3 linked regions of the Xenopus tropicalis genome follow. The protein of the gene in region 3 interacts with the protein of the main gene of each other region in a biochemical or structural test. Links are inferred from orthologs where the notes say so. Each region holds a gene or a part of one and is shown on either strand. Other genes may lie near its edges.

Region 1 (3,762 bases), about 40 Mb from region 3:
ATTCCGCGCATCCCTATTATTTATATATCTGTGCCTGACCCGTCCATCTGTAAAGTCAGAAAAGGGGGGAAAGCAGATGTAAGTATATAAATAAGCTAATGGCAGGCAGCCACTGGAGGAATCGGTTGGGTTGTGGACGGAGCCCGCACACGCCGCTAAAATTGCATGCCCACAGGTTTCAGGCTGGCCTGCACATCACCAAACTGGATGTTGCTTTTCTTCTCCATTTATACATTGCCCCAGGAGGCATTCAGAGCACTGCAAAAGGAACTGTAACAATGCCAATACTAGAATGTGAGACTGGCATACAGGGAGGAAGCAGTATATGAAATAAACACAGCACTATTTATCAGCACATAATGATTTAATTCCTACATTTGACAGGGACATCACCGTAACCCATTATTGACTACCACATAAACGTACAGAAGCGCTCTGCACCCATTTTGTACGCAGCCCACAGCTGGTCACAAACAGGTTTATCTAACAATTTTCACAGTTCTTTACAGAAATAGTAAAATGTAGTTATCAGATGTTTTGCTTTATCTCACATATAAGTTCCCATTATTAGAGGGGTCACATCTACACTTGAGTGCCAAGTTTCCTGCCCATCTCAGGGTCATGCTTCGAGCCCCCCATGCAGGCTGGGCTTTTGCTGATGGCAGGGTTTTCCTCCCATTGTTGAGGGGTTTTGGCTTGGATGGACAAGGCATGAACAGGACCAGCTAACTCGTCCTTCAGCAGTTCATTCACCAGTCTATGCCTCTGGATCAGAGACTTGCCGAGGAAGCTCTCCGACACCACCACCACCTTAAAGTGCGTTTCCGAGCCCTTGGGCACCGCATGCATATAGCTCTCATTCAGCACCTCCAAGTGGCTGGGCTTCAGGGTCTCAGTCAGTTTGGATCGGATAGCGTTCTCCACTGGCCTCTCCATGTAAAGCTGTGATCTAGAATACGGCAATGTGACCAGTGTCCAAGGTATCCTGCATTTAGTTCGGAGCAGGCTCAACGGTAGCATCAGCATGGGAAGGAGCTACAGGCCAAAGAGAAATCCCAAGTTACTTATATGTGAACATAGTAGGAAACATCTATATTTTTGTGTGTGCTTACCCAGAAAGCATTTGGATTCCATTTCAGCAGTGATCCCCAACCAGTGGCTCTGGGGCAACATGTTGCTCCCCAACCCCTTGGATGTTGCTCTCAGTGCCCCCAAACCAGGGAGTTATTTTTGAATTCCTGACTTGGGGGCAAGTTTTGGTTGAATAAAAAAAAAAGATTTCCTACCAAATAAAGCCCCCCTGTAAGCTGATAGTGTGCATAGAGGCCCCTAATAGCCAATCTTAGCCCTTATTTGGCACCTCCATGAACTTTTATGGTGCTTGTGTTGCTCTCCAAGTCTTTTTACATTCGACTGTGGCTCACGAGTAAGAAAGGTTGGGGATCCCCTGCATTTCAGGCTTAAAAACATTGTGAGCAAAGGCACATGGTGTAACTGTGAGCTTATTATTGCTTTTGGCCAATATTGCCCCTCATGGAAATCACCTCAGAGTGATCGTGGGGCCTGTAGGCAACTGAGGCTTCGACTGCCACAATTCTAATTACAAGTGTTTGTATGGGCATCATGTGCCAATGCCCTTGGACTACTTGTGAGGCTCTATCTGTGGAGGCCAACAAAATATTTTCGTGACTTAAGGCCCCCATACACGGGCCGACTATAGCTGCCGATATTGGTCCCTTGGACCGATTCGGCAGCTAATCGGCCCGTGTATGGGCAGAACAGAGCGACCTGGCCGACCGATATCTGGCCTGAAATTGGGCAGATCTCGATCGGCCAGGTTAGAAAATCCAGTTGGATCGGGGACCGCATCGGCTCGTTGATGCGGTCCCCGAACCGACTGCCCCATAACCTTAAATGTAATCCGATCGTTTGGCCCCAGGGATTATTTTTTTTTTAAGTCCCTTGCTACCCGATATCGCCCACCCATAGGTGGGGATATCGGGTGAAGATCCGCTCGCTTAGCGACATCGCCAAGCGAGCGGATCTTATAGTGTATGGGGACCTTTAATGCAGTTAGTGTTGCCACCAAGTTGGTAATACGGCAATGTAATTGCCAGTAAATTTGTAATCCATGTCCTTCCCACCCCTAATCAGCCCATACCTGCCCCGATCCACCCACACCCTGCCTTAGAGTTACCACCTGGCCAGTACTTTACAGGCCTGGCCGGAAAAAATTATTCTTCATGTCAATGTTATTAATAGGGAAAAACATAATAATATAGGAAGGCCGGTATTTTTTTCAAGAAATGTGGCAACCCTACCCTGCCCCCAATGTGCCCATTCCCACCCCTATGAAGTCACTGGCTTCCCTGGACCGCAGCCTGGTCAGACTTGGGGGAAAAAAGGTGGCAACCCTAAATGCAGCCCATAACTATCCAGGAACAGAGGAAGAAGAAACAAAATATGATCCCTGCACTGTCACAAGTCTGTAACCTAATAAAAAAACAATATCTTGATAATAAAACTACCCTGACACTGTGCCCCTGGACAGCTACCCTTAGCAACCAATCAGTGATTCCATTTGCTCAGCCAGCTGGCAATACAATGAAAGCAAAAATGTGATTGGTTGCTATGGGTTACTTCCTAGCGGTATGATAACAGAATAGAGTATAGAGTCTAGGCATTAGCCAATAATAACAGTAATATTATGGTACCTGAGGCGTCCTGGTATGGTTCGGCCCGGGAATCCTATGGTCAACAGCCAATCTTAGGTCAGAGCGTATTTCCGCGTTCTGTCAGAGGACGCGTCCTGTCTCGTAGGGAATTGTAGTTCCTCCGTGCTGTAACTCCAACTTCCTTCTTCACCTTAATGCGGCTAATAAACTACAATTCCCAGAATCCCACTGTATTGAAACCCTTTGAGGAAATCCCGCGGCCGTGTTTGCTTCTGTCACAGGAGCGGGGCTTAGCTTGAACTTTGTTTTTACCCGGCCCCTGCCATCGTAACACAACTGTTGTATTTTAACAGAGGTATTTGCAAAACAGAAATCCCGTTTCATGGGGCCTTTACCTGGTTTAATTTTACTGAACGCTATAGAAGTAAAGCGCTTTAATATACATTCTGGCCAGTAGGGGGCAGCATTGCTTTTTTTTAACTGTGATACGGCATTTATTGCCCTAATAAGCTAATTGTCTGGTTACCTTTTACTCTTCTGCGGTTAATTAGCTTCGCATTTATAGTTGCTTAATTGCTGTAATAGTTTAATGTTATTATATCTTGCTTTGCTTTAGGCTTTGCCTGGCTAAAGGAATTATAAAATAAAAATCAATATAGATAAATATGGTAAAAAAAAAAAAAGGACTATTATAGAATAGGGGTCTGCAGGCTCCATACCTTAGTGAACTGCAACTCCCAGAACCCAACAGGAGACTGTTATTATTATTATTAACATTTATTTATAAAGCGCCAACATGTTCCGCAGCGCTGTACAAATCTGGACTGACACTTTTGGACTGAACCATTCTCAGCTCAGGGGCAAAATAATGAATAGCCAAACTGTTTTTAGGGTCAAGTATTATGATTTTGGGGCTTTGTGGTTTCCTAAAAAGGTTTCGTTCGTGTCAACATTGGTTTTTAAAGAAGGAGACAAATGGATTGGGGACAATTACGCTGAAATCTGCCTGGACCCACATTAGGAATATAATATTACCAATAATATTTCCTATGGCCTAACCTGCCATTAGCCATTATGGTATATGGGG
Region 2 (3,762 bases), on a different chromosome or scaffold from region 3:
GTGACGTAGCAAATCCCGTTTCCATGGTGCTAATAGTGCAAAATACGCCGCGTATTTCAGCTAGGTCTGGCAGCTGCCTTTGTGTATACATAGGAATAGGTTGCTGTGCAAATACTGGCGTATTTCAGCCAACGCCTGAAAAATCCGTGCTAAGGCATTTTCTAGCGTATTTCCGCTTTGTGTGGTTTGCTTTGAGTCTTTTCAAGTTATTTCTATGGATGATGATATCGTGTGTTTTTCAGCCGCTGAATTAGAAAATACGCAGCGTAAAAACGCCACGTGTGGCATCAGCCTAACAAACTATTTTGAAATAAAACAGTCAGCAAAAAAGTCGTGCTGTACCATTGTGTGCTAGAGGCCGCTATTTCATTTTCCCACTCTTATGACATCGCTTGCAGCATGACGTCACGGGGCAGCTCAGGCGTTTCAGTCAGCTATTGAGCTCTTACTCTTAGGCAACACTTCGCTCCATATCTGACATACATGCGGTCATTGTCGGCTTGAGAACGCTAAACGTGTCCCGTTCAAGAAATAGCAAAGGGGGCGAGGGATTCATGCTGTCATAGCGCGCTGCCCCCAAAATATTGAGAGGAACAAACATAAAACAACCGAGTTGTTATATATCTCCCCCCTGGGTGCTGGCCAGCTGCTCTATAGCCGCTCCCGCTCTTACGTTCAATCTGCACCACGTGATGAGGACGCCGTGCGTCACATGTGACTGACGTTCGCCGGAGTACGAGTCGCCGCTAGGGACTGTCAGCAGCCAAGGACTCATGGACAGGTTTGCTGTACGGTAACATTGAAATCCCAAGTAAGGGATCGCGGTGTGTGCACGTACAATGTACGCAGCTAGGAATGTATTCGCTACAAGCAGGGTGAGTCTTACTTCCAGCAACGGCTATACAGTCCCAACTCGTTATACAGTGCGAGGGGCTGCTACAGGGCAGAGCGGGTTATACGGCACAGGGCAATACTGGCACTGCCACACAAGTCTATTGAATGTTAGGGGGCAGACTGCACTGAATGCTAAGCTACACCTTGTACTAGATCCCTCCAGCTGCCGAGACACCTTTCTCTGTAGTGAAGCACTGACCCCTAGATATGATTTCAAGGAAAAGCAACACCAAGAAATGAGTGTTTTAAAGTAATTCAAATAGAATGTACTGTTGCCCTGCACTGGTACAGCTTGTGTGTTTTCTTAAAGCAACAGTAACACCAAAAAATGAAAGAGCTTTAAAGTAATAAAAATATAATGAATTTTTGCCCTGCACTGGTAAAACTGGTGTGTTTGCTACAGTAACACTACTATAATTTATATAATAAGCTGCTGTGTAGGCACGGGGGCAGCCATTCAAGCTGGAAAAAAGGAGAAAAGGCACAGGTTACATAGCAGATAACAGATAAGTTCTGTAGAATACAATAGTGTTTTATCTGCTATGTGCCTGTGCCTTTTCTCCTTTGAATGGCTGCCTCCATGGCTACATAGCAGCTTATTTATATTAATTATAGTAGACTTTCTGAAGTAAACACACAACTTTTACCAGTGCAGGGAAGCAGCACATTATATTTTACTTACTTTTATACACTTTCATTTTTTGGTGTTACTGTTCCTTTAAGAAACACAACTATAGTTTATATAAACAAGCTGCTGTGTAGCCATGGGGGCAGCCATTCAATGCTAAAAAAAAAGGAGAAAAAAACAGGTTACTCAAGCCGATAACAGATATGTTCTGTTATATAATCAGTGGGATTCTACAGAGCTTATCTATGATGTATCCTGTGCTTGAATTGCTGCCCCCATGGCTATACAGCAGCAGATTTATATGAACTATAGATGTGAGTGTTTGAATAATTGCTCTTTAAACTATTAGGTGTCAGTAACCAATCAGTGACTTGTGGGGGCCATATGGGACATAACGATTTAGTTAGTTTGCGTTTGAATCTGACCTGCGTGCTCACAAACTAACTGAACAGTTATGTCCCTTGTGCCCCCTAAAGTCACTGACTAACTGAGAGGTTAGAGAGCTGAAAGCTGGAAGTAGTGTTCTGGCTATTATGTTAGACATCTGCTCCAGCCTTTATAGATTACATTTTTGCCTAACTGACTATATTGAAAACACTTTATTTTGTGCAGTCTATCTATTTTACCCAGTTTCATTTTTACATGGAACTGTTCCTTTAATCCTTATCTTTCTGTTAAGTCTCAGTCCTATTCGTATTCCAGTATCTCGTTCAAACCACTGCCTGGTTGCTACAGTAAACAAGACCCTAGCAACCAGGTAGCAGCTGAAAATCCACTCTGGACAACTGCTGAACAAAAAGCTACATAACTGAAAAATCACATAAAATGAAAATCATTTGAAAATTGTCCCAGAATATCAGTCTGTGTAATACTAAAATTTAATTTAAAGGTGAACAACTAAAAATAATACATTTGTTGGCTCAAGAATACAATTTTAAATGGTAGAGTGAATTATTTGCTATGTAAATAGTGTAATTTAGAAATAAAAAGTACACCATAAAATTCATGACAGAATCTCTTTAATTTCCCTCAGTTAATCTGTAGGATGGATGATGGAAGTTGTAGTTATTTAATTACTAAAGTGCAAAATGTTGGCTTGTTTCAGCTACGGTCATGGGTTGGGTAAAGAGTACTTGGTCATTTGTTTTATGTGTCGGCTGTGTTCAAATACTCATATTTGATATGTTTGATCCACAGACATGTATCCGCTGTATCACAAACAGATCCTTCGCTTCCAAGACAGAGGGAGAGTACAAGATAACTCAGGTGCTGAAAGCCAAGTTTCCGCTGGCCTCACATGTTAGAGTAGTTGATATTTCAGGTAAGATATCAAACTTCCTAAAGTTACTCACTGGGAATAGGGAAAGCTGAATGGTATGGTTTCACAAATTGTATGTTCAGGGCTATATTTGTGGTGCAGAATATTACTGTTCTTCCTAGTTAGATTCATAGAGTAAAAGTGGCCATACATGTAAACATCCGGTCGCCAAGCGGCCCCAGGGCCAAACGATCGAATTAGAATGCCGGTAATAGGCGCAATTGGTTTGGGGACTGCATCAACGACCCAATGCGGTCCCTGATCCGATTAAATTTTTTAACCTGCCCGATCAATATCTGCCTGATTTCAGGCCAGATGTTGGTCAGACAGGCCTGTCGTTTCTGCCCCTGCACGAGCCGGTAAGCTGCCGAATCAGTCTAAGGGACCAATATTGGCAGCTACAATCGCCCTGTGTATGGCCACCTTTAGGTAGCTTCTGTACAGATGTTAAATGAAGGTGTCTTCACAAAACAGCTGCCTGTCGGCTTGAATGAGGGAACAGAGAACAGGTGAAAGGTGGCTATAGCACGTTTGGCCGCTCCTATGGTATCCCTTCCTTTGCCCTATAGGCTGATTGATTGGCTATCCACCTTTAGTGCATTATGTGGAATTTGTAAAATACAGTTAAATAGTTGGTGGGGGGTTAAAAATAGATGAGCTGCAAACAAGTCAGACAAAGTAAGCATTTGTATAAAATAATACTTTTTCTGAATGTGCCACTAAGCTCTAAAAAGCTGAAAGAAAAAGTTGATCATGTGATGGGACCTTCAATATCTCCCATTTTTACCGACTGTTTATCTGTTCTAGGTGGCTGTGGAGCAATGTATGAAATCCACATAGAATCTGAAGAATTTAAAGACAAACGTACAGTGCAGCAGCATAAGATGGTGAATGAGGTAAACAGATGCCTTTTGACTTAAAA
Region 3 (2,303 bases):
GAGCCCTAAGGGGCTTATGAGTGGCTATATAGTTTTTGGAGACTTAGGAAGAGGAAGCAACAGGCAGAATAAGTTGTGAAATCCATGGAAATTTCATGCCCCTTAAAGGAGAGAAGCAATCTTTTGAGAATGAAGGGAGGCCTAGAGAGCAACCTCCCTCCCACTAAGGCCCCTTAAACTCTTATGGAACCATCAGCCCCACTGGATCTGTGCAACCTGAAGAAAAAATAACATCAAGGACTTCATTTTATCAGCCTGTCTGTGGATTGGTTACATATGGACTATCTGTGGGACATTCTGGATAAATTCTGCCAGTTGGTGGCAGGTCTCTTTTTAACTTATGGCTTAAAATGGCACCAATATCTTGTGCTACTTACTGATTAAGATTACTAGAAAATTCTATTCCTGACCCCCAAGTTCTCTTGCCTGATAAAAATATCATGTTATGGTGCATGGGTCAAAAAGGCCTATTACATGCTGTTCCAACTCCTTTTAATAATGCAACAAAGTCTAAACAGGCAAGTGATAAACCTGTATATTTTATTGTTTACAATATTTTCTTAATGTAAATTTTTTCTTTCAACACATCAGTGGTCATTATCTAAATATATTACACAAATCTATTCCATGGCAGAAAGGCTTCTGCACAAGTTGGTGGAGGTCCTCCACCAGGTTTGATATATTAATAGAGAACATTACATGGACTTCTTTTGGACATTAGAGCATCTGTACAACAGTTCCTCCAGGCAAATAAGGCTTTTCTGGTGCAATCAGGCCTTTATCCTTTTGACATATAAAGTTTATAACACAGTGCATTACTTTTTCTCTTGGCTCGGTTCAGCATCTAATAGTGCAGAACGAATCCCCAACTTATTTAGCTCTTCCACAAGGTCTCCATTCTGATGCATCTGAAGTAGAATATCACAGCCTCCCACAAATTCACCATTAAAATAGACCTGAGGTATGGTGGGCCAGTTTGAATAATTCTTTATCCCTAAAAAAACAAAAGAGAAATCTTAATTGCATAGAAGTCATACCCATCTGTGTTAAAATTATACAAACACAAGTGGATTATGTGCTGTTATATGTGCTATATATATTTATTGTACAAGTCTGAGGGGATAAGTCCTAGATGGCAGGCATATATCCCCATTTTTTAGGTTCTGAGCCCTTTAAGAACCACCCCTTTAAGAGACCCAACACAGGGTGTGGTCTGGAAAACCAAGGGGGTTTAAGGAAGGGAAAGGCAGTTGGGAAAGGTGTGGAGTGTGAAAGTAGAGTTACACATGAAAGCTGCTTTGAATGCACCCGAGTTCCGCGAAACAAACCGGTGGGTTTGAGCCGTTTCCTTATCGACTAAAGTAAGTCAAACTGGTTTAATTGGGCTGCCCGTGGGACATTTTGTTGGTAATACCTGCTGTGTTTTTGTATTTTGTTTGCTGAACACAAGCTATTTTTCATTGCCCTTTTTGCTGCCTTTTTGTGTTAACAATAAATGGACTGTTTTTGGGAAGTTTGGAGTAGCCTGCATTTGTGCTGCAACCCTGCTGTGTTCCTGCAAAACATCATATCATATATATATATATATATATATATATATATATATATATATATATATATATATATATATATATATATATATATATATATATATATATATATATATATATATATATATATATATATATATAATATTATATATTTATTTATATATATATATATATATATATATATATATATATATATATATATATATATATATATATATATTATTATTATTATTAAACTCAACAGTAGAAAGCACTCACAGCTACAGCATCAATCAGGTCAGTGATTTATTTCAGCATACCATCTACGCGTTTCGATCACCACAGGATCGTCATCAGGATGGCGATGACGATCCTGTGGTGATCGAAACGCGTAGATTGTATGCTGAAATAAATCACTGACCTGATTGATGCTGTAGCTGTGAGTGCTTTCTACTGTTGAGTTTGATGCATTATTTTTGTCAGCACCCAGCCTGTGCCCGATACTGGCGAGTGCCGATTCTTTACAAGACTATATATTATAATTATATATATCAGAGGATAATTCGACTTTCTGGACTGAGAGCTCTTCTCTACTATAATATACACATATACTGTGAGAAATAATGACTGCATTAGAATTTTCATTTATACATTACAAATATATTAAAACCCCCCAAAAATTAAGATCAGTGTGTGAGGTAACAGAGGGCCCAATTTCCATGGGTTTTTTTAATTTACAAAGAAGGGCAACTGAACTGAACATTCATCTTTGCA

What was found.
Region 1: the proteins of glrx5 (region 3) and bola1 form a complex in vitro, tested with the Homo sapiens proteins (2 studies listed by BioGRID). The link is inferred for Xenopus tropicalis from reciprocal best matches to the Homo sapiens genes GLRX5 and BOLA1.
Region 2: the proteins of glrx5 (region 3) and bola3 form a complex in vitro, tested with the Homo sapiens proteins (4 studies listed by BioGRID and IntAct, with this or other methods). The link is inferred for Xenopus tropicalis from reciprocal best matches to the Homo sapiens genes GLRX5 and BOLA3.

Annotation. Positions count from the first base shown.
Region 1 is NC_030684.2:128,792,303-128,796,064, reverse strand, and holds bola1 (bolA-like protein 1), read right to left. Parts: upstream 2,827-3,762; 5' UTR 2,715-2,826; intron 1,036-2,714; 5' UTR 1,027-1,035; coding exon 583-1,026; 3' UTR 346-582; downstream 1-345. UniProt on the Homo sapiens protein: Acts as a mitochondrial iron-sulfur (Fe-S) cluster assembly factor that facilitates (Fe-S) cluster insertion into a subset of mitochondrial proteins. Probably acts together with the monothiol glutaredoxin GLRX5. May protect cells against oxidative stress.
Region 2 is NC_030679.2:121,246,166-121,249,927, forward strand, and holds the start of bola3 (bolA-like protein 3), read left to right. Parts: upstream 1-818; 5' UTR 819-839; coding exon 840-875; intron 876-2,719; coding exon 2,720-2,843; intron 2,844-3,647; coding exon 3,648-3,736; intron 3,737-3,762. UniProt on the Homo sapiens protein: Acts as a mitochondrial iron-sulfur (Fe-S) cluster assembly factor that facilitates (Fe-S) cluster insertion into a subset of mitochondrial proteins. Probably acts together with NFU1.
Region 3 is NC_030684.2:88,818,861-88,821,163, reverse strand, and holds the end of glrx5 (glutaredoxin-related protein 5, mitochondrial), read right to left. Parts: intron 995-2,303; coding exon 816-994; 3' UTR 527-815; downstream 1-526.